2 linked regions of the Caenorhabditis elegans genome follow. The protein of the gene in region 2 interacts with the protein of the main gene of each other region in a biochemical or structural test. Each region holds a gene or a part of one and is shown on either strand. Other genes may lie near its edges. The genes, in order: fsn-1 and egl-3.

What was found.
Region 1: of the proteins of egl-3 (region 2) and fsn-1, one has a biochemical effect on the other in vitro, tested with the Caenorhabditis elegans proteins (one study listed by BioGRID).

Annotation. Positions count from the first base shown.
Region 1 is NC_003281.10:4,933,424-4,942,292, reverse strand, and holds fsn-1 (F-box/SPRY domain-containing protein 1), read right to left. Parts: upstream 4,972-8,869; 5' UTR 4,933-4,971; coding exon 4,846-4,932; intron 4,707-4,845; coding exon 4,493-4,706; intron 4,444-4,492; coding exon 4,080-4,443; intron 4,028-4,079; coding exon 3,880-4,027; intron 3,341-3,879; coding exon 3,155-3,340; 3' UTR 2,840-3,154; downstream 1-2,839. Other genes in the region: rpb-2 (DNA-directed RNA polymerase II subunit RPB2), read right to left, coding at 1-239, 288-530, 604-892, 940-1,340, 1,386-2,513, 2,557-2,691; mrps-18C (Large ribosomal subunit protein uL3m), read right to left, coding at 5,223-5,561, 5,607-5,771, 5,885-6,012, 6,090-6,478, 6,525-6,715; eri-9 (Zc3h12a-like Ribonuclease NYN domain-containing protein), read right to left, coding at 7,375-7,584, 7,635-7,709, 7,751-8,155, 8,203-8,471, 8,523-8,869. UniProt on the Caenorhabditis elegans protein: Component of a SCF (SKP1-CUL1-F-box protein) E3 ubiquitin ligase complex which is required for the restriction and/or maturation of synapses in GABAergic neuromuscular junction (NMJ) presynaptic neurons.
Region 2 is NC_003283.11:10,165,721-10,176,897, reverse strand, and holds egl-3 (Neuroendocrine convertase 2), read left to right. Parts: upstream 1-3,144; 5' UTR 3,145-3,146; coding exon 3,147-3,422; intron 3,423-4,133; coding exon 4,134-4,274; intron 4,275-4,784; coding exon 4,785-4,838; intron 4,839-4,888; coding exon 4,889-4,981; intron 4,982-5,386; coding exon 5,387-5,877; intron 5,878-5,929; coding exon 5,930-6,388; intron 6,389-6,453; coding exon 6,454-6,748; intron 6,749-6,967; coding exon 6,968-7,117; 3' UTR 7,118-7,721; downstream 7,722-11,177. Other genes in the region: C51E3.6 (Solute carrier family 23 member 2), read left to right, coding at 10,441-10,633, 10,693-10,774, 10,819-11,050, 11,157-11,177. UniProt on the Caenorhabditis elegans protein: Serine endoprotease which cleaves preproteins at paired basic amino acids. Processes FMRFamide-like (flp) and neuropeptide-like protein (nlp) neuropeptides.

The sequences.
Region 1 (8,869 bases), on a different chromosome or scaffold from region 2:
AGTCCTCGATCAATTGCAGAGTTGTTCATAATGACAGAATCTTCCTGATTATATCCGGAATATGAAAGAATAGCAACAATTGCGTTGATTCCGGCTGGAAGTTCATTGAATCGAAGATATTCCATAGATCTTGTAGTGACAAGCGGTTTTTGTGGATAGTAGAGAACGTGTGCAAGAGTGTCCATTCGAACATGGAAATTTGTTGTATAAACTCCCATAGCTTGCTTACCCATAGCACTCTGAAATTGTATTACATTAATGATTGATTCGTATAAAAAACAACTCACTTGGTATGTATTACGTGGTGATTGATTATGATCTGGGAATGGAATGATTGAGGCACAAACTCCGAGAATCATGGCTGGATGAATTTCACAATGAGTATGAGTGTCACAGTAACCACCACTTCTCAAATCTTCTGGCATCATTGCAATCATTGATGTTTCTTCTTCCATTGAATCAATCAGTTCGACAACTCCACCACCAACAAGATCAGACCATGTGTATTTATTCGCTTCGTCAGCAGCCTCCTGGAATCATTGAAATTTTTATAACTCGACCCGTTGTCGTTTTGGAAATCATACTATTTTGAAAAAATCTTACCTTCAACTGATCAATGTGTCTCTTCTTCAATGCCAATTTCTGATTCTCAACAATAAGTAATGGACGGCAAACTCTTCCAGCATCAGTGTAGATACGAATTTCTCTGTCACGAATATCACGAACCATTGATACTTCGGAAACGATGATGTCCATTTGACGTCGAAGCTTCTTCAACGTCGTCATCAATTGATCGGGTTCACGATGAATTCCCACCCATGCACCGTTGACAAAGATCTTCGTAGCATCGGCAATAGCCGATGGAGACACTTCTTCAAGATTTTCCATTGACCTGAAAAATAATACTTTACGAATTACAATAGACCGGAGAATCCTCACCATTCTTCCAAGAATTCCAGAATTGGCTCTGGTAACGAACCGACAGAGATGTATGCCATAAGTGCCAGATTCTTCACCAAACCTACAGCCTGTCCTTCAGGAGTTTCAGCAGGACACACCATTCCCCATTGAGTATTATGCAGCTGACGAGGCTTGGCAAGTTTTCCTTCTCGTCCAATAGGAGAGTTCGCTCGACGCAAATGTGAAAGTGTGGCCGTGTAGGTGAGACGATTGAGTACTTGAGACACACCGGCTCTCGATTGATGTGCTTTCTTTTGATCACCCCAATTACCGGTAGCCAATGAATATGTCAATCCACGAGTTATTGTTGAAGTTTTGACGCAGACATCAAGAGCAAAGTCGTCATTCTTGTTGATATACTTTTGAGCTGTCATTCTCATCTGAAAATTGAATACATTCGAGATATAATTATATTGAAAGCTCACCTCCTTGAGAAGATTTCTGAAAAGGGAACGGAACAAGAAAGCAAGAAGTGGTCCGGCTAAATCCAGTCTTTTGTTTCCAATGTGATCACGATCATCAAGTTCACGACGTCCGAGGGCGGCTAGAAGAAGACGATGCACCATGTATCCGATGAAGAATGCTTTTTTCGTTTCGCAATGCTCAGATACACCAACATGAGGCAAAAGTTCTTTTTGAAGAATCTCACGAGCATATTTGATTCTTTGTTCTCTGGTTACTCCTGGTTTTGCTCCACGAGCTCCGATAAAGTTGAGAGCAACATTTTGCTCCTGAATGACAAAAGCTTCATCTAACGAAGGTTTGACCATTTCCATCATTTCTGGATCATTGAAATCGTAGATAATGTGTCCAAGAATATCACGATCTGATACGAATCCCAGCGCTCGGAACACAATCATAATCGGAATTTCTTGTTTAATATATGGTAAAATTCCAATAATTCGTTGACCCATCGCCGTCTTCTTTCCACCACCTCCTCCTCTTGCAAGCATATTAACCCACATTGTGGATGTCGGACGAGATGAATTTTCCAAACAAGAGCGACATTCCGTTTTGAATGCATATTTTCCGTCTTTCATTGAGAACACGTAAACTGTATTAGTCGCCATCTTTTCTTGAGCAATAAGTACTTTCTCCGAACCATTGATAACAAAATAACCTCCAGGATCAAGTGGGCACTCATTGAGTTCTGTTAGATCACGATCTGTCATATTGGAAAGCATACAGTAACTAGACCGTAGCATAACTGGAACTTTTCCAACGAACACTTTGTCGTACACTTTTTCCGTTGCTGAATCGTCTCTTGTCACCACTTTAGTGATATCTACGTAAAGTGGCGAGGCGTATGTCAAATTTCGGAGACGAGCTTCGTTAGGCATCATTGGCATTGGTGCTCCGTCTTTCTCCCAGTGAGTTGGTTTCGAGAGGTAAATTTGATTGAATTTCAATGAGAATTTCGCAGGATTTTCCATATCTGTGCCAAGATGCTGATTTTCTGATTGAAGTTCGACTGGCGGAGAATCCTCAACAATTCGCTGCACATTCATTTGGACGAATTCATCGAAGGAATCAAGTTGTTGACGAACGAGACCCTTCAAAAAAGAGATTCTTTCATGATTTTATAATCAAAAATACCTTTTCATCGAAATAAGCACTGATAACAACCCAACATGCTTCTTGCCATGCTTCTGCACTGATTTCATCCGAATCATCGATATAGTCTCCGTCCATCGGGTCATTAACCATCTCATCCTCATCATCGTACATCATTTTTGCCGGCGACGTACAGTGATTCTGATATGAGGCTGAAAAAGTTGATGATTAGGAAAAAAGAATTCAAGAAAAACTATAGGTATTTAGCGGATTTTTACAAAGAAAAAACCGAATAAACAATTTAAAAAGCATATAATATTATTATAAAGCGACGAAAAAGCTTCATTGAGAAATGGACCAATTATCACGAAGTGACTAGAAAAGCTCGATAAGCAATAAAAGAGATCAATATGGGAATGAGAAAGTGTGTGAGAGGAAAGCGTGCGGGAAAAAGATCTATTATGAGTGTTTTAATTACAGGTAAAGTTTAATATCAGAATTAAATAATTTTCATATTTTTCTGAAAATTATAATAACAGTAGAAATATGAGACAAGCGATGAAAACATGTGAATAATTACATTTTGAGTGGCGAATAAATACGCGCGCAGAAGTCAGAATATACGCTCTAGCGAACGTCTTCAACCCATTTGTGGACTTCCAACATACACCATTGTCACTTCTGTGTTGCCATAAACCGCACAGACAGCCGGATAGAGACGTAATGGGGGAATATGGTTGAATGCGATTCCGAGAAATTCCGAGTTTCGTTCAAAGTAAGCGACATGGGTGTCACAGTCGATTATTAGGCGGATTTTATCGCCGACCTGGAAAAAGGATTATTTCAGTTTTTAACTAATTAGTTTATTCGAAGATTTTAAACCATTATTTCAAAATATAATTTTTCAGGAAGTTAAATATTAAAAAAAAAAAACAACAAAAAAACTTGTTCTAAATTTTTAAAATTTCACTTTGTTAAAAAATATAATTTTTCTTTTCTGTACAGTTTTAGTGAATGGAAAATAATTGTTTCAATTTATCGAAGTTTGAATATTGTGAATTCTAGCCGAGGAAATAAAAAAAATGGTTTGAATTTCTAGCACTTTTCACAATGCAGATATACAGAAAAAGTTAATTATTGGAAATTTCTCGACAACTCAAAAAAAACTCGTCATGCGATTTTACCATGACGTTCATGTTTCTTAAATTGTTAGAGATGAAAAATTGAACTTTTTCACATATTAAACAACTTTATAAAACAAGAACGTCGTATTTTGTAAAATTGTGGCCCAATACCGTTGTTTCGTCCTAGAACGAAATATATTTGCTTGCATCGGCTTATAACTGAATTTTTTTAGTGAAATACCTCATATTTCGGAGGATTGTTCATTTTTGGATAAACACCAAGCTGTGCTCCATTGTGCATCAAAACATTATCTACAAGATTCCATCCCCATGATTGATCATCTGATCCGAGGAGAGCAACATAGCCAACACAGTGAAGAGCAGCATGTCTGAAAATGTTAAAGATATATCTTTAAATTTTCAAATAAATTAACTACTCACTTAGTAGCAATACCAACAACGGCTACAGTTCCCAACGGTCCATCCCAAGTTATATCAAATGCGTGTACTCCTTTTGAAATCCCTCGTTTTCCACGGACACCGTCTGTTGACTGAGCAACTGGCTGCCGGTGAACAGTGAAACCGTTGGTACGGATGTAGTTATTTCTTGAAATATCGCTCGTATTCCAGGCAAAATACCAGGCTCTCAGCTTCTTTTTTGCAGATCCCAGCTCGGCGAGCAGGAAGGGATCGGAAACTGCTGCTTCTGGAAGCTTCTTGCCAAGAAGGTACTGCCATATGTCACTGTCTTCCATTGAAAGAGCGTTATTCCAACTATGACAGGTTAGCATTGCAGATCGTAGGTCTGAAAACAGAGCCATGTAACTTCAAGGGGGAAAATGTTATATGTTTACCTTTCAATGGTAAATACTGAAAAATCTGATTCAGTACTTTCAGAGGAAGTCTAGAAGCTGACACTTCCGGGCGTCGTGGAGAACGTCGTCGTCTTGGGGGAATGCTATGCGGAGTCAATTGTTTTGGTGATTCATCTGGGGTTCCTGATGATGGATTCCCTTCGTCATCACATTCCACCATTGAAGTTTTTCGTTCTTTCGGGCTTTCCACTTGCTGAAAATTTAATATATTTCCCTTTTTTATTATTTTATAGCTTGTTTTCATAAACAATTTTTTAAAAATATTGTCTAGCTTTGAAGTTTGAAAAATTCAAGTTTCAAAAACAGTATTTTGAAAAAAGAAAGCAACTCACTTCCAACCCACTACTTTTCATAGGCGTTGAGGCCGTCAAATTGCACTGTTCGTCTGGAACAATCGTTTCCCCGTCGTTTTCAGCCATACTTCTCGATTAACCAGCTCACCACAGTCTTGTCATTCGCTTCAAATTGAGAATCCAAGTTTCAGAATGCATAATGTTAAGAAATAAAGTAAATCTCGGTAAACGACCGGTTTGGAAAAAAATCAACAAATAATTGAATATAAACTCTGCTTTTTGGTATTCAGAACAAACAAAAACAATGCAAAACAATGAAAAATCTATAAATCTACGGAACAAAAATTCTAATAAACCGAATTTCGACAAAAAACGATAAAGGAAAACCGTAATATATCATAAAATTAGATACACCATTACTTTTTAACTTTTGCAATCTTAGCTTTCGTTTTATCTCTTCCAGTGGCCTTCTTGGCGTCGGCATCAGTGAATAAAATGGATGGAGATGTGAAACGGAACAGTTTGGGCGAGAATTTTTCGTTGAAAAGAAGATTTTTGGGAATTGTGCCTTCTTCGGGTTCTGTCTCCGGTTCTTCTTCGATGGTTTCTAGTGATGGAGCCCATGTTGGCATTGGGCCGGATTTCAGACGTTTTTCTTCTTGTAAGCAATCTTTAAGTAGAATTGTTTCTCCAATATCACCAGGTACACTTCCTTTCACATAAATTACTTGTTTATCTACATTGATTCGAACAATCTTAAATAAATGAATTGAAAATTAAAATCGAGAGCAATTTCTTACTTCCAAACCAGAAACAGTCCTCCACTCATAACCCATATGTCCCGGCATACGTTTTCCTGGCCAAATTCGAGCATCGCCGACTGAACCAACGGAACCAATTCTACGATGTGATTTTGTGGTACGTCTTGTCGGTTGTCCACGCATTCCCCATCGATGCATTCCACCCTGAAAACGACTAGTTTCGAAAATATTTCGCAAGGGTTGAGAGATTATTTTGCTCCTTGGCTTGCAAGGGAAATTTTGGAAGTTTTAGACTATTGTAAATTGAAAAAAATTACCTGGAATCCCCAGTCAATAGTTTTTCCAGTAGCAGTTACATATTGACCAACTCCGAAGTGACGGGCATCAAGTGGCTGTCCAGCACTGGGGAGAGCGTCTTCTGTTACCAGGAAACATCCGAGTTTCTCTGAATTTATTTTTTTAACCATGAATTTACGGTGAAGGACTATCGAAAAGCGGAGCAAAACACAAAAAAAACCCAACCTTTCACTGGAATTCCTGCGCGAACAAATTGCCTACGGTACCCAAGCGTGTATTTTGTTGGATCATCATTTCCGGCACCCACTGTAACTCTCCACATAGGACCGTGACGATTGAAAGCCTTTCTTTTTCCGACGGCTGACGATTTATACCAAGCCTCTGGTGATGTAATACTGACAACATGATTTTCATCAACTTCAAGCACAGTGCACAGAATTCGGTTTCCTTCATTTGTCCATTGTGGGAGCATTCCGATTTTGCGGACAACCAGACCCACACGTCTTGATGAATCTGGAATGTCAACAACTGAGACATTGGTTTCTTGAGAATTTTGAAATGCAATGGTGGACGCCGCAAGAGTTTCTTTCTCAATTACGGTTTCAAGCAGATTTCTGAACAAAAACGTTTGCTAAACAGGTAAGAATTAATGCAACTTACTTTGTCCCCTGGCTAATACCCACACTGCTTTTCGGCACACTCTCTTTGACTGGCGGAAGCCATGGAGCTGGGGTCAATGTTCTTCTGCGACCTCTCTGCTGACTGATATGTCCACTGAAGGCCATTAGAATTCTCCCGGCCCATTCTGGAGTCGGACCCGTCGTCACACTGGATACCAGTGAACGGAGCATCTGTAATTAAGATTAAATATTAGTGAGATATAATTGATCATGAAATTCTAGAATAAAAATGAAGAAAATATCATCAGAAACTCCGCATGGAAATAAAAATGCGAGATACGAGAGCTGGACGAAATATAAAATGATGGCATAGCTAATTATAGCTTTATACCTTGAATGAATAACACTTCTGACAAGCATCAAAGAAACTTGTGTTAAAATAGTAGCTATTCAGCCAAATGAAGTGATTGATTCTGCTAAGTAATGAAAAATGGGAATAAAAAAGTCGGTAATGATAATCTGACGGGAAGATACTGAGAACAGAGGAACTAACGAATAAATCGAGAAGAACAAATAATTCGAAGGTTAGGCATATTACTTAAAATGAAATTATAACTAAAAGACGAACTTCAAATTCAAAAGAAGCTTGCTAACTTTACTTTAGCCCGACTTTAATCAATGCTCCTGAGAAACTGGGTGTTTCGTATGCGGCTAAACAACACGCGCATACGGAATTTCGGAGTGTTGTTGCCAGAAAATTCAAATAAAATTTTTCAAACAAAAAATGCAATTGTTTGTTTAAAATACAATTTTCAGGGTATATATTACCAAGAATTTTTAAAATAAAAGTTTAAAACCAAAGAAATGCGAAAATATTTTTATTGAACATATTAATTATCAATTTTTGAGAAAATAGGCCAATAAAGAAGGTCCTTCCCGTTCTGAATGTCTTGAATTGCCATAGCAACATCATCCATGCGAGTTTTTTGCATAAAACTAGGTAAAAGTTCTGGCACGTAACGTTTTATAATCATAAGGAATACTCTTATTTGGCGATAGCGTTGGAAATGGAAAATAGAGAGTTGCGCCATAGAGGAAATCTGAAATATTGATGATAAATCAATCTGAACGGAAAACTGGAAAAAATAACCAAATATGTTTGTTGCTCAAGAGTTAACTGATGCGGGGAATATTCAAATTCTTCGTTTTCAGATTTCTGATCACGCTGAAAAAATTTAGACTTTACAAAATTTAGATTGCACCTACGTTTTCGGATAAGTCGCCTGAGCTGGAAGCAACATCGACGATAGCTCCTTCTTCAGAATCTTCTGATATTTCAGAACATTCCTCTTTAATCAAATATTCTTGTTTCAACGTTTGTGGATCAGCAGGTTCATCCTCAGAGTCTTCCATAGCTCCACTGATTTTTTGATGTGATTCTTCTAGGACAGTTGTGCTTGATACGGCTGAAGAACTCCCTTCAGGTTTCAAAACTCTAGATTCTTCAACGAAATCTTGTGCGAGTATTTTTTTCGGAAGATTATTGACTAGGAATACTGTGCAAATTAGAAATTCATCAAGTCTTTTAGAATAACGATTAATCACTGGAAAGCATTGAATAGCGTTTCGGGTTAGAAACTCTTCCGCTGAGGAAACAAAGACTCCATGGACCTAAAATTTATTTTCAAATTAACGAATTTTGAAACTAAAAGAATAACCTTTTCAGCTTCAAGCAATACTTGTCGTTCCACAGCCCTCCGACTCCGCCCGTCAACAAACTGTATAAGTTTTGAATTGCACAAGAATTGAAAAATAGTCGAGTCATCGACTTTTTGGTTAGTTGTATCGTTATAATAATCTGGCAAGTATATTACAGTTTGGCACCCGTCTAGAATGAAATTTAAAAGTATTTCAAGTAGAGATCTCGTGGAAATTATTGGAAGCGACGATGAGATCGGAATTAGCATGTCCATGAATGATAAGCCATCTGAAACGAATTATTCAAAGTTAAAAACATCTAAATATGAAAGTAACCAACCTATAAATACGGGTCTAAGCATACAATCCGTGCTTCTTTGGTTAAAAATTGGAGTATTTTCTGATCCGATTTGATAATTACATATTAATGATAAATCGTTGTTACGCAGCAATTTAAGCCGCTGATGTTCATCAAAATGGCATGAAAAGTTCTTAATTGTGAGGCGACTCGTTGATTCCAAGAAATCATCATGTTTCTGGAAGTGTAGAAGCCACAATATTTCTTGAATACTTTTCAATATTTTTTTTCGTTTTTTGCGTTTTTTTTCTTGTAACGTGGTCCCTGTGTATGAATGGAGTTTAGTTTGTCGTTGTTTTTCTATTTGTTTGAACTGCAAATCTGGAGCC
Region 2 (11,177 bases):
ATCATGAAAAGTCTTGTCTGATAAAAAATAAATATTACTTATATGTAGTATTTTTTTAAAAACTATATTTCTTTTAATTCGTTTTAATTCAGTTGAGCTCCTAGAATTCCCTTTAATCATTACAAGATCATGTGTTCCCAGTATTATAAAACAGCTGAAAATTTCAATGTTTTTTCAAGCAGAAACGCACATTTTTCATGAAGTTTTTAATACGCATATTACGAATGTACTAGTCCACGGGGATTTTTTTGTGGATTTTCGTTTAGTCTGGCAACAAACTAAAATGAAAAAAAAAGAAAATAAAGAAGCTCTTTCCTTTCTCTCATAACTTTTTTCTGTTTGTTTTCACATTGTGATCCGTTCTCTGAAATAGACTAATAGCTCCATTAACACACTCACACAACCTGTCTCTTCACGTCATTTCGTTTCAGCTCATTTTGGTCGCTTTGTGGGTTTGAATATATTGTATCAAAAAGGTGTACTTATTGTCTGACAGAAGCTTTGAGCGCATCATAAACATGTAGAATTCTTATGCTACTTGATTGTGAGAATAGGTACTTGATTATATACAATATCTATGAGTCACATAATAAAGTAACTTGGAGGAACTTCTAAGGTAAGCGGCACTTCTTCCCACGGAAATGCCGACCTACGTGCGTGCCTACGCCTATTTCCTGCATGTTTCCTGTTTGCCCAGAGTAGACATTTCTTCATTTCTTATTTCAAGACACTCATTTAGCTTAAATTTTTTCAATGGAAACTTTTCATTTTATCTATTAAGAAATATTTACCACCTAATAGTTTACACATCTTATAATTTGTTTACAAAAACTTTTTTCAAAACTTGAAAACTTGCACGTAAACGTAATTAGTTTTGAAATGTGCAAAACACAAAAGGAACAATGACGTCTCTTTTGCTATTTCTTCTTCTACAACTTAATGCAGCACTCAAAATGGAATTCAAGAGTTCTGAATTTGAGCTTTTAAAATGAGATTATCAATTACATATTAGGCTCTAAATTATAGCTTAAACTATAATCTTAATTTCATAAAGGTCAAAGAGCTCTTCCATTAGGTTAAGCTGCTCTTGCTCCATGCATAGGCTCTCGACCATGTGCTTCATTCCCGGAAACTCCTATTCACTAGAGTCCTGGGTTTTTGAACTCTTGTTTCTGAGAGTTATTCTCTAAGTTTTTTCTTTTCCTTCTTCTGAGCGCCTTGTTCCTTCTTTACATGAATTTGATCCCATAAAAATATAATTTCCTGTAAAGAAAACGTTATGATCTCTGGCTTTCGTTCATTATAAATAAGTTTGCAGACTTGTTGGAACACGAATAAAACCAAATTTTTATTTCTAGAGAAATTACACCTTTCCCATAATCCGTAAGATTCTAGCAATGTGTTGTCGAAAAAATATGTACTATTATTTCAATTGTTCGACTTTAACAGAAGACCAATTTTCCATATTTAGCTGTGGTCTAAAAAAACAAGAACACTGAGTTGATAGTATCACGGAACACTAAATTCAAGAAATTTGTTTATGAAAAATATAGACATATTAAAAAAATGATATTAAATTTTTTAAAGGAAAATACCAATATATAACACAGCCACACTAGAACCATTGTCTCGGTGACATTATTTACTTTCCAAGAAATTATTCCAATTTTCGTGCGAATATTCCGAATATTTTGAATATTAAAAGATCTTTCTCACTTCCCTTCAAATTTCCCGGTTCATCTCATTTGAGTATTTTGTCGAAAAACACGAAGGGCTCCTGATGATGATGAATCGGGGGCATACACAGATCCAAGCACATCTTCTTCTTCATTCTCTTTCCCTATGTGTCATTCATTTGATTATCTCTTCACTGCTCTGACTGGAAACGAGGCAGAAAAATGAACAAGCATGTGAGCCGAGAGAAAGTCGAGAGCTCTTCCAAACTCATACTCTCTCGCTTCAGCACTCACACACATCCCATCGCATTTCAGAAGAGGCAAAAAAGCGACGTCATCTGAAATCGAAGAGAAGACTCATAGAGATCTGTGTGCGTGAGTGTGTATGTGTGTGTGTGAATGCCTAGAGCCAATGAGAGCTGCCGAGCCAAGCAGATCGATAAGGTGCAGTGCCCAGCGACGGCTTCATCGTATCGATCAGTGTGGGCACGCGCACAGCTTTCACCCTCACCACCTCTTCATAGTCGTCATCTTTTTCTTTCGCCTTCTTTTTTCTTCTTTTTCTTCTCCTGCTGCTTCTTCGTCGCCTATCTTCCCCCTGCTCTCCGAACCGCCCACTTTTTCAGCACTGCTGTGAAGGCTCAACCAAACTGACATCTTTTCTCGTTTTCTCGTTTTCCGAGTTTGCGCCCGCGCACAAAAAAAAAGATTTTGACATTTCCGGTTCCAGCCATGTTATTATGAATTAGATGTTTTTTATTCTGAAATGATAGCTCAAAGATGCTCTTTTGCGACCCATTGACTCATTCTTATTCTGAGCTTGATCCAATATATTCACGTCACACGCTCTCTTTTGATAAGCAGTTCCGGGTTGAATCAGCCCAAACGACATACATTTTTATTCAGCTTTTTTGTGGAAATGTCAAATCATATTAACGTATTTTTCGTTTTTATAAATTTTGGATGAATAATATTAAGAAAATCTTGGTATTTAATAAATTTTTTCATGAGGGAAACTGGAGATTACATGAAATTTTTAAAAATATTCTAGTTTCAAACAATTTAAAATTTCAAAAATAAAAGTTTCAAAGTCGGAGTCCGGACCCGATATATTTCTGTGAACTTCATGAAAACTTTATCCTTTCAAGTCGGCCGATTTAACTGAATTTATCATCAGATGCCTGACTAAACTTCCGCAAATTTGAAAACCCGTGTTTTTTTTTAGAAAAATCTAAATATCTCTCTGAAAATTTTTTTTGCAACCTTTCATTACATTTTTCAAAGGTAAGACATTCTTCAAAACGCCTTTAAACTTTTATTAGAGTAAATCAAAAATTCTCGGAAGTTGTGTGAAAAAAAACCAGCCTTACAAACCTGACTCATATTTTATTCAACCTCATTATTTTCTTTATATTCTTTCGATCTATTGTCTTTTCGAATATTGACAATAAATATTTTTCAATTGAAGGTATGAAAAACACACATGTCGACCTAATATGTGTGTTCCTGTCGATTTTCATCGGCATTGGTGAGGCGGTCGACGTCTACACCAACCATTTCCATGTTCATTTAAAAGAGGGAGGTGGACTGGAAGATGCGCATCGGATAGCCAAACGTCACGGATTTATTAATAGAGGACAAGTTGCAGCAAGTGATAATGAATATCATTTTGTGCAACCAGCACTTGTTCATGCACGAACCAGAAGATCAGCAGGTCATCATGCTAAACTTCATAATGATGATGAGGTAAGAAATCATGGGTTACTGTAGACTTGTTGCTGTTTTGACCAAGAAAAATGTTATAGAGAAGCATATAAATTGGTAATCAGACTACTTTAAAAAAGTAAAAGTTCGGTTAGACAGTTGAAAATTACATTTTACAACTTATGATAAACATCGCTTTATTTAACAGAAGTTCTTAATTCAAATTGAGGCAAAAACAAAAAACTAAATGATGTGAATTTCATAGAATTTAGTGCGGCACATTTTTGCCAAAATTTTAAAAGTTATATTAACTAGGCGATTTGCAGTCATTAATTGAATACTGACACTGACATTGAATGGAATATAATTCGTATTATTTCGGTAATTACTGATCGCAGTATTTATTATCATGAACAAGTGCTGGTTGCACAAATATTTAAACTAGAAACATTATACTACACAGTTCTGTTCAAAAGCATTCGTCACCACATAATGTGAAATTTGTAAAAAAAACAATCATGACAAATTCAACAATGATCCGGACAAATTTTAACTTTCAAAAACAAAATATATTGATATACTAATCCCATAATTCTCTTCACCATACACCTATTTTTACAACATTGATCAGCTAAATCTGTGTTAAATCCAATTCAAAATGGTCATTCATTTGATCATTTAGAGCAATAGAATATTCCTTCCAACATCTCTTCCCTACGTCATTTCATCCAACTTTTTTCATTCTTTATTCAGGTTCTTCACGTCGAGCAGCTGAAAGGATACACCCGTACAAAGCGAGGATATCGTCCGCTTGAACAGCGACTGGAAAGCCAGTTTGACTTTTCAGCAGTCATGTCTCCATCGGATCCACTTTATGGATATCAGTGGTACTTGGTGAGTCAAGGAACACATTTTGAACAGAAATAATGTTACTTGGTATTTCGAATTCAGGCAACCACGTGACGCAATTCGTTCAGTTCGTACTAATTTCCTAGTATTTCAGATAGTATGCATTAGATAATGAGAATAACAAAAATATTTCCGTCTTCAACGTTTTTTTTAATAAATCGTAATTCCAGAACTAAGGACACGAAAACATTGATAACTTTTATTAATTAAACCTGCACAAAAGTTTTTTTGATGTTTTTCTGATCGTGCACAACGTCTACCCTCTCCCCCCATAAATTAGGGATCCATTTTCTTGGTTGTCCCTACCCTGAGGGCTTCATCAGAATTTCCTTTCGTCTCGTCTTTCCGTTGCTTTCCTCCCAACCATGTAAATAGTTCATGAGATAACTTCGTCATGAAAAGAAAAAAACGAGGGAGGAGAATAAAGAAAAATGCGCCCCAATGTTCTGCTGCTCTGCGCCAAAAAATTCTCTCCGAAACATGCTCTTTTTCCAGAAAAACACTGGACAAGCTGGCGGAAAAGCTCGTTTGGATTTGAATGTGGAAAGGGTAACAAATTGAAAAGAAAAATAAAAATTTTGGAAAATAAAAATTTTAAGGCTTGGGCAATGGGATTTACTGGAAAGAACATCACAACAGCGATTATGGATGACGGAGTGGATTACATGCATCCGGATATTAAGAACAACTTTGTAAGTCGTCTGATTACACATTACAATCAGGGTCTTATCGTTTTGGTAGAAACTCACATATTTTGATATTTGAGACAAATAGTGAAGCCATAAAATAGGGAAACTGAATTAAATTCCAAAGCTGTCTTGAGAACACTAAAATGCCCAGTAAATTTTTTTGGATTTCTCTTCGAAGAAATCAGAAACCAAAAATGTAAAGTCTAGAATAACCAAAAAGCTATTGAAAACTTACTTGAGAGCCATTTGTCTCAAAAAATGGATTCTCAAAAGTCTCATTTGTAGACGTAACATAATTGAACATTTATTTCACTGATTTTTATAATCTTTTTAAAATTGATGTTTAAAATTGAAAATTTCGTCAAATTATCTGTTTACAGTAGATTTATGAATCGAATTTTTTTCCAGAATGCCGAAGCTTCATACGATTTCTCATCAAATGATCCATTCCCATATCCAAGATACACTGATGACTGGTTCAATTCCCACGGAACTCGATGCGCCGGAGAAATCGTTGCCGCCCGTGACAACGGTGTCTGTGGAGTCGGAGTTGCCTATGACGGAAAGGTTGCTGGAATCAGAATGCTTGATCAACCCTACATGACCGATCTCATTGAAGCCAATTCAATGGGACACGAGCCGAGCAAAATTCATATCTACTCTGCTTCATGGGGACCGACTGATGATGGAAAGACTGTTGATGGACCACGTAATGCCACTATGCGAGCAATCGTCAGGGGTGTCAACGAGGGACGTAACGGACTTGGATCCATTTTTGTTTGGGCCAGTGGAGACGGAGGAGAGGATGATGATTGTAATTGTGATGGATATGCGGCAAGCATGTGGACAATCTCGATCAATTCAGCCATTAACAATGGAGAAAATGCTCACTACGATGAGTATGTTTCGAGTTTTATTTTCACTTCAAACACAAATTAAAACAAACTTCAGATCTTGTTCATCAACCCTTGCTTCCACTTTCTCCAATGGAGGACGAAACCCAGAAACCGGAGTCGCTACTACCGATCTCTACGGAAGATGCACCCGATCTCACTCCGGAACTTCCGCTGCTGCTCCAGAAGCGGCAGGAGTCTTTGCCCTTGCTCTTGAAGCCAATCCATCTCTTACCTGGAGAGATCTCCAACACTTGACAGTTCTCACTTCAAGCAGAAACTCCCTGTTTGACGGAAGATGCCGTGACTTCCCATCTCTCGGAATCAACGATAACCACCGCGACTCTCATGGAAACTGTTCTCACTTTGAATGGCAAATGAATGGAGTTGGACTCGAGTACAATCACCTTTTCGGATTTGGAGTTCTTGATGCAGCAGAGATGGTCATGTTGGCAATGGCCTGGAAGACTTCCCCACCACGTTATCACTGTACTGCTGGACTCATTGACACTCCACAGTAAGTCACTTTTACAGAATGACCATTCAAATTCCTAACTAATCATTACGTTAAATTGCTTTCAGTGAGATCCCAGCCGATGGAAACTTGATTCTTGAAATTAATACTGATGGATGTGCCGGATCTCAATTCGAAGTCCGCTACCTGGAACATGTTCAAGCAGTTGTCTCGTTCAACTCGACTCGTCGTGGAGATACCACTCTCTACTTGATCTCTCCAATGGGAACCCGTACCATGATTCTTTCCCGCAGACCAAAGGATGATGATTCAAAGGATGGATTCACCAACTGGCCATTCATGACAACACACACATGGGGAGAGAATCCAACAGGAAAATGGAGACTTGTCGCCAGATTCCAAGTGAGTAATGCATTCATGATGAACAATTTTATTTGAGCACTTAAATATTGTATACCTTTTTCTAAGTTCGCCTAACGTTTTTTTAGAACTAGATCGAAATCGGCTGCGAAATCGGCTAAGATAAGATATCTTAAAATGTTGTTTTCTCATAGATCAAAGCACAACATTTATATGATAATCTGTACACAAAATTTTCTGTAAACACTAATAATGTTTCAGGGACCTGGAGCTCATGCCGGAACCCTTAAGAAGTTCGAGCTGATGTTGCACGGAACAAGAGAAGCCCCATACAATCTCATCGAGCCAATCGTCGGTCAAACCAACAAGAAGCTCGACACCGTTCAAAAAGCCCACAAACGCAGCCACTAAATGTACAAAATTCCCCAATTTCTTCCTTCCTTCAAAAAATTTCTAAGAATTTCCTCTTCCTCCTCCTCTTTTTAACTAGTTGAAAATGAAACAGATCATCGAGCTTCCCAGTCGACCCGCCCCCAATATCCGGTGATCCGTATTGTTGTAGTCGCTTCGGGTGCCGCACACAGATTTACAGATTTTTATATTTTGTAAGTATATTCCATCAAATCGTCCATCACCACCATTCGCCCCACCCATTTCTTCTTTTTTCTATTTCTCCCTCTTCCTTTTTTTCTCTCCCCTTCATATTTTTATTGTCAGTTTTTCGACCCGATCATCACATCACAATTGTTAAATGAGCTGAGCCACACACACACAAACACAAATGACAGACACAAAACATCATTACCATCTGAAACGAAAACCGAAAAGAGCCCTTAAAATCTCTCTCACTCCATCATCACACCATCTTCATTCGCCATGCAAATCCCTGCGCGCACAAGTCGAACCACCCATAATAAATCGTTCGGAATTGTTATTGACATGCAGATAGTTCAATTTATTTGTCTGCTGCAAAAACTATAATTTCCTTTTTAAAAATGATATGATTCACTTGGTCTTTTGTCGAACAAGAAATAATCAAAAAATGACGCCACGAACATTGGAAAAGTACTTTCTAAAAGAATCCGCCTTTTCAAAATCATGACTTTTGGTAAATTGCAACACTAGATGCTTAGTCACTATCCAATTGATATCTCTCAGATTTTTTGGCTTTCTGAATACGTTTTTGAAGTCAAATGTAGTCAACAAAGTTAACTCAAAAGTTAAAAATACACTTAAAAAAATTAAAGCTATTTTAACCCTCTGTGTTTTTCTACAGTATACCTTCTAATTTATCGGGAAAAATAGTTCGTCAATCTCACAAATCCATCTAGAATTTCAGAATTTAAATATTTCTTGAAAAGCATAAAAAATCCCGGTGCAACTAAAAAAATTATATATATATAAAGTTGTATGTAAAAATTGTATGAAAAACTGGTTGTTAAATACAACTTTTATGATTATGTTTTGTTGTTTATTTAACTGAGTGTAGACATTTTGTCACATTTAGACCTTAAAATCTGTTATCATAATTTCGACAAATACTTTAAATAAGTTTTGCTGTACGAAAAGGATTGTTGTGTTTTAAGTTTTTATTTTTTAATTTTGAGATCAATTATACTTTATTTATTATAACTGTTGGAAAATTGCAACATGCAGTATTCCAAAAGTGTCCTGCCCAAATTTTTTATGCGCTCCTCATTTTCTTTGAAATGAAGCAAAATGAACTTGTAATAAATATGAAGACAGTAGGCTCTTTAACGATTGTGACATCACACTCTCTGAAAATAATTTTGACGTGTTTCCAAGAGTATATCAGGTATGGCACGTCTTGAATGCCTCTCAGGAAAATTAGTTTTTAGGAAAATAAAATCTCCAGAATATCTCAATTCAAATTTTGAACAATCACTCTTAAACTTCAATCAGTAATTGCCCCACCCCATTTAATTTTTGCCCATTTGTCGAATTCGTCCCAAATTGAACGTCTCTTCATCGTTTTCTCTTCTGCCAGTAGTCGTCAGACAATGATACGTGCCTGTTTGTCGCCTCTTTTCTCTTTCTCTACCACAACAATATGCATTATCACTTTGTATACATACAGATTCTAATTCTTCCGGCATTTCATTTCCTATTCACTGTTTCTAGCAAACCATTTCATTTTTTTTAGTACTAAATAGATGAATTATATTCCAACAAACGAACACGTTCATTCTCATCCTTTTCAGATCTTTTTCTGACACATTCTGTCATTGACACACTTGGAAGATTGCCAATCAAATCTTGTCGTATCCATTATTATCTCTCAATCTCTCTTCCATCTCCATAAAGATATCCATTGATCAGCCAATGATATCACCATTTCATTTGATTTTAGCCTTAATCTACTTTTTTAAAAAACATTAGTCAATTAAAATTGTCTCTTCAAATTGAAAAACTATAACCAGCTGACTTAACCTTATCAATGAAAAATAGCAAGAAAAGTAAGAGTGCACATAGATTCACAACATTGGTACTGGAATAGCGTTAATGAGCTTCACATTTTTCTTAAATAATTTGATTAGCAAGTGTTCCCGTTTCACAGACATATGTTGCCATTTTGGTATACCCCGAAAGTATATCCCGAAAGGATTGAAGGTGTGCAAGGAAATAAAAACTAGTTTTGGACTAATAATTTTGTAAGCAATACGAACTGGAAAAACACCGTATATTATTTTATTTTATTTTCAGAAAAGTAATACGTACTAATTAATTTCACTGCTGCAGACATTATTTCTTTAAGAAATCATGAATTTTATATATTTTCACAAAGTTCTCACAAGTCGGAAAGACGTTCCCAAACCAAAAAATAACACTAATTTTTAGTAATGCTATTTCACAAAAATTATTATTGATGCGACTAGAATTGCGCCGGAACAAAACACATTAATCCGTCCATCTACCTGTATATTTCATTTTTGTGTTTACTTTGTTTCTAGCAGTCTGACAAACAACGATTTTCCTGAATCTTTTCCACCGATTGTCCATGATAACTTTTTAGAGTTAAAAACATATGATAAATAGTCTAGTTAAAATAATATTTGATATTTTATAATAGTCACATTGAAATCATATGTTGATCATATCAGTTTCGGTAAATAAAAATGTACTCAGTCTGCCTTTTTATTTATAAACATGTATCATTATGCATGTAGTTTTCAAACAGTGGATCTCTGAACTCTGAGGGTAATAATTGTTTTCTATTGGGGACGAAGTACGAGTCTATTCTACTTTTTTGACAAAACCTAATAATGAATTTGCTCCAAGCTTTTTAAAATTATTAAGTTTTTTAAAAATAAAAGAAGAAAAAAGTGAAGTTCGACAATTAGAACACGTGCTTAATATAATATTTTTTCACGTCTTTTGTTACACATTCTAATTCCAACGTGCCGTTTGGGGATTCAAATCCACGTGTAATTTCATGCCTTCTAATTTCAAAGTGTTCCGTTTTCCTTGTCCTGAACATTCTTGTTTCTTTCAAAATTCTATAAAAATATTAAATATGACTTATAGGTTCCCATTAAAAACAGTTGTGGGCGTCAGTCATCTCTGTTTTACATAAAACATACAGTTTTTGGTTTTCTGCCCCGTCATTTACATATGCTGACAAGTTCCGTGCGAACTTGTGCTGAAACCTCTACCTCTATTCGTTTTCCCTTTTGTTTTCCCCTATGAGTTTGAACGTTTGATTTTTCAGATAAATGGATTATCCTGAGAAAAGAGTTGAAATTAGAGAAAAGAAAACGGCTCAACGGCCGTTTTTAAAAGCCCGAGATACTCCTCCAATTGGAATTGCTCTTTTATATGGACTCCAGCAAGTTATGGTTTGTGTGTCTGCACTTTTAACAGTACCTCTTATTATGGCTGATTCAATGTGCCCGGGATCGAGTATTGGTGAGATTTTGAACAATTTCTGGAACCAATTTTCAGTCTCAAAATCTTTTTTGTTCCAGCGGTTCTACGACAGACACTCATCAGTTCGACATTTGTGAGCAGTGGCATTTCTACAATAATTCAGACACTTTTTGGAATGAGGTATAAAAAATTCAAATAGATTGGTCCATTACTTTTATTTTTAGGCTGGCTCTTTTGCAAGGAACGGCTTTTGCATATGTTCCTTCTGTTCAAGGGTTTATGAGTCTTCCTGAAAATACTTGTAATGCTACGGAAAGTGACTATGTTCCTGAAGAGGTTTATTACGGGAAACTCGCACTTCTTCAAGGATGCCTCATCGCTTCATCGTTTGTACCCATTCTCATTGGAGCTACTGGTCTAGTCGGAATGCTGACCAAATTTATTGGGCCACTCACAGTAAATTTAGTTCCGAACAACCAAAAACTCTGTATATAAACAAATCCTATCTATTTCTAAAAATTAATCATATCGTTGGAAGCGCTTTAAAATCAGAACCTTTCAGGTATCCCCTCTTATGCTTCTT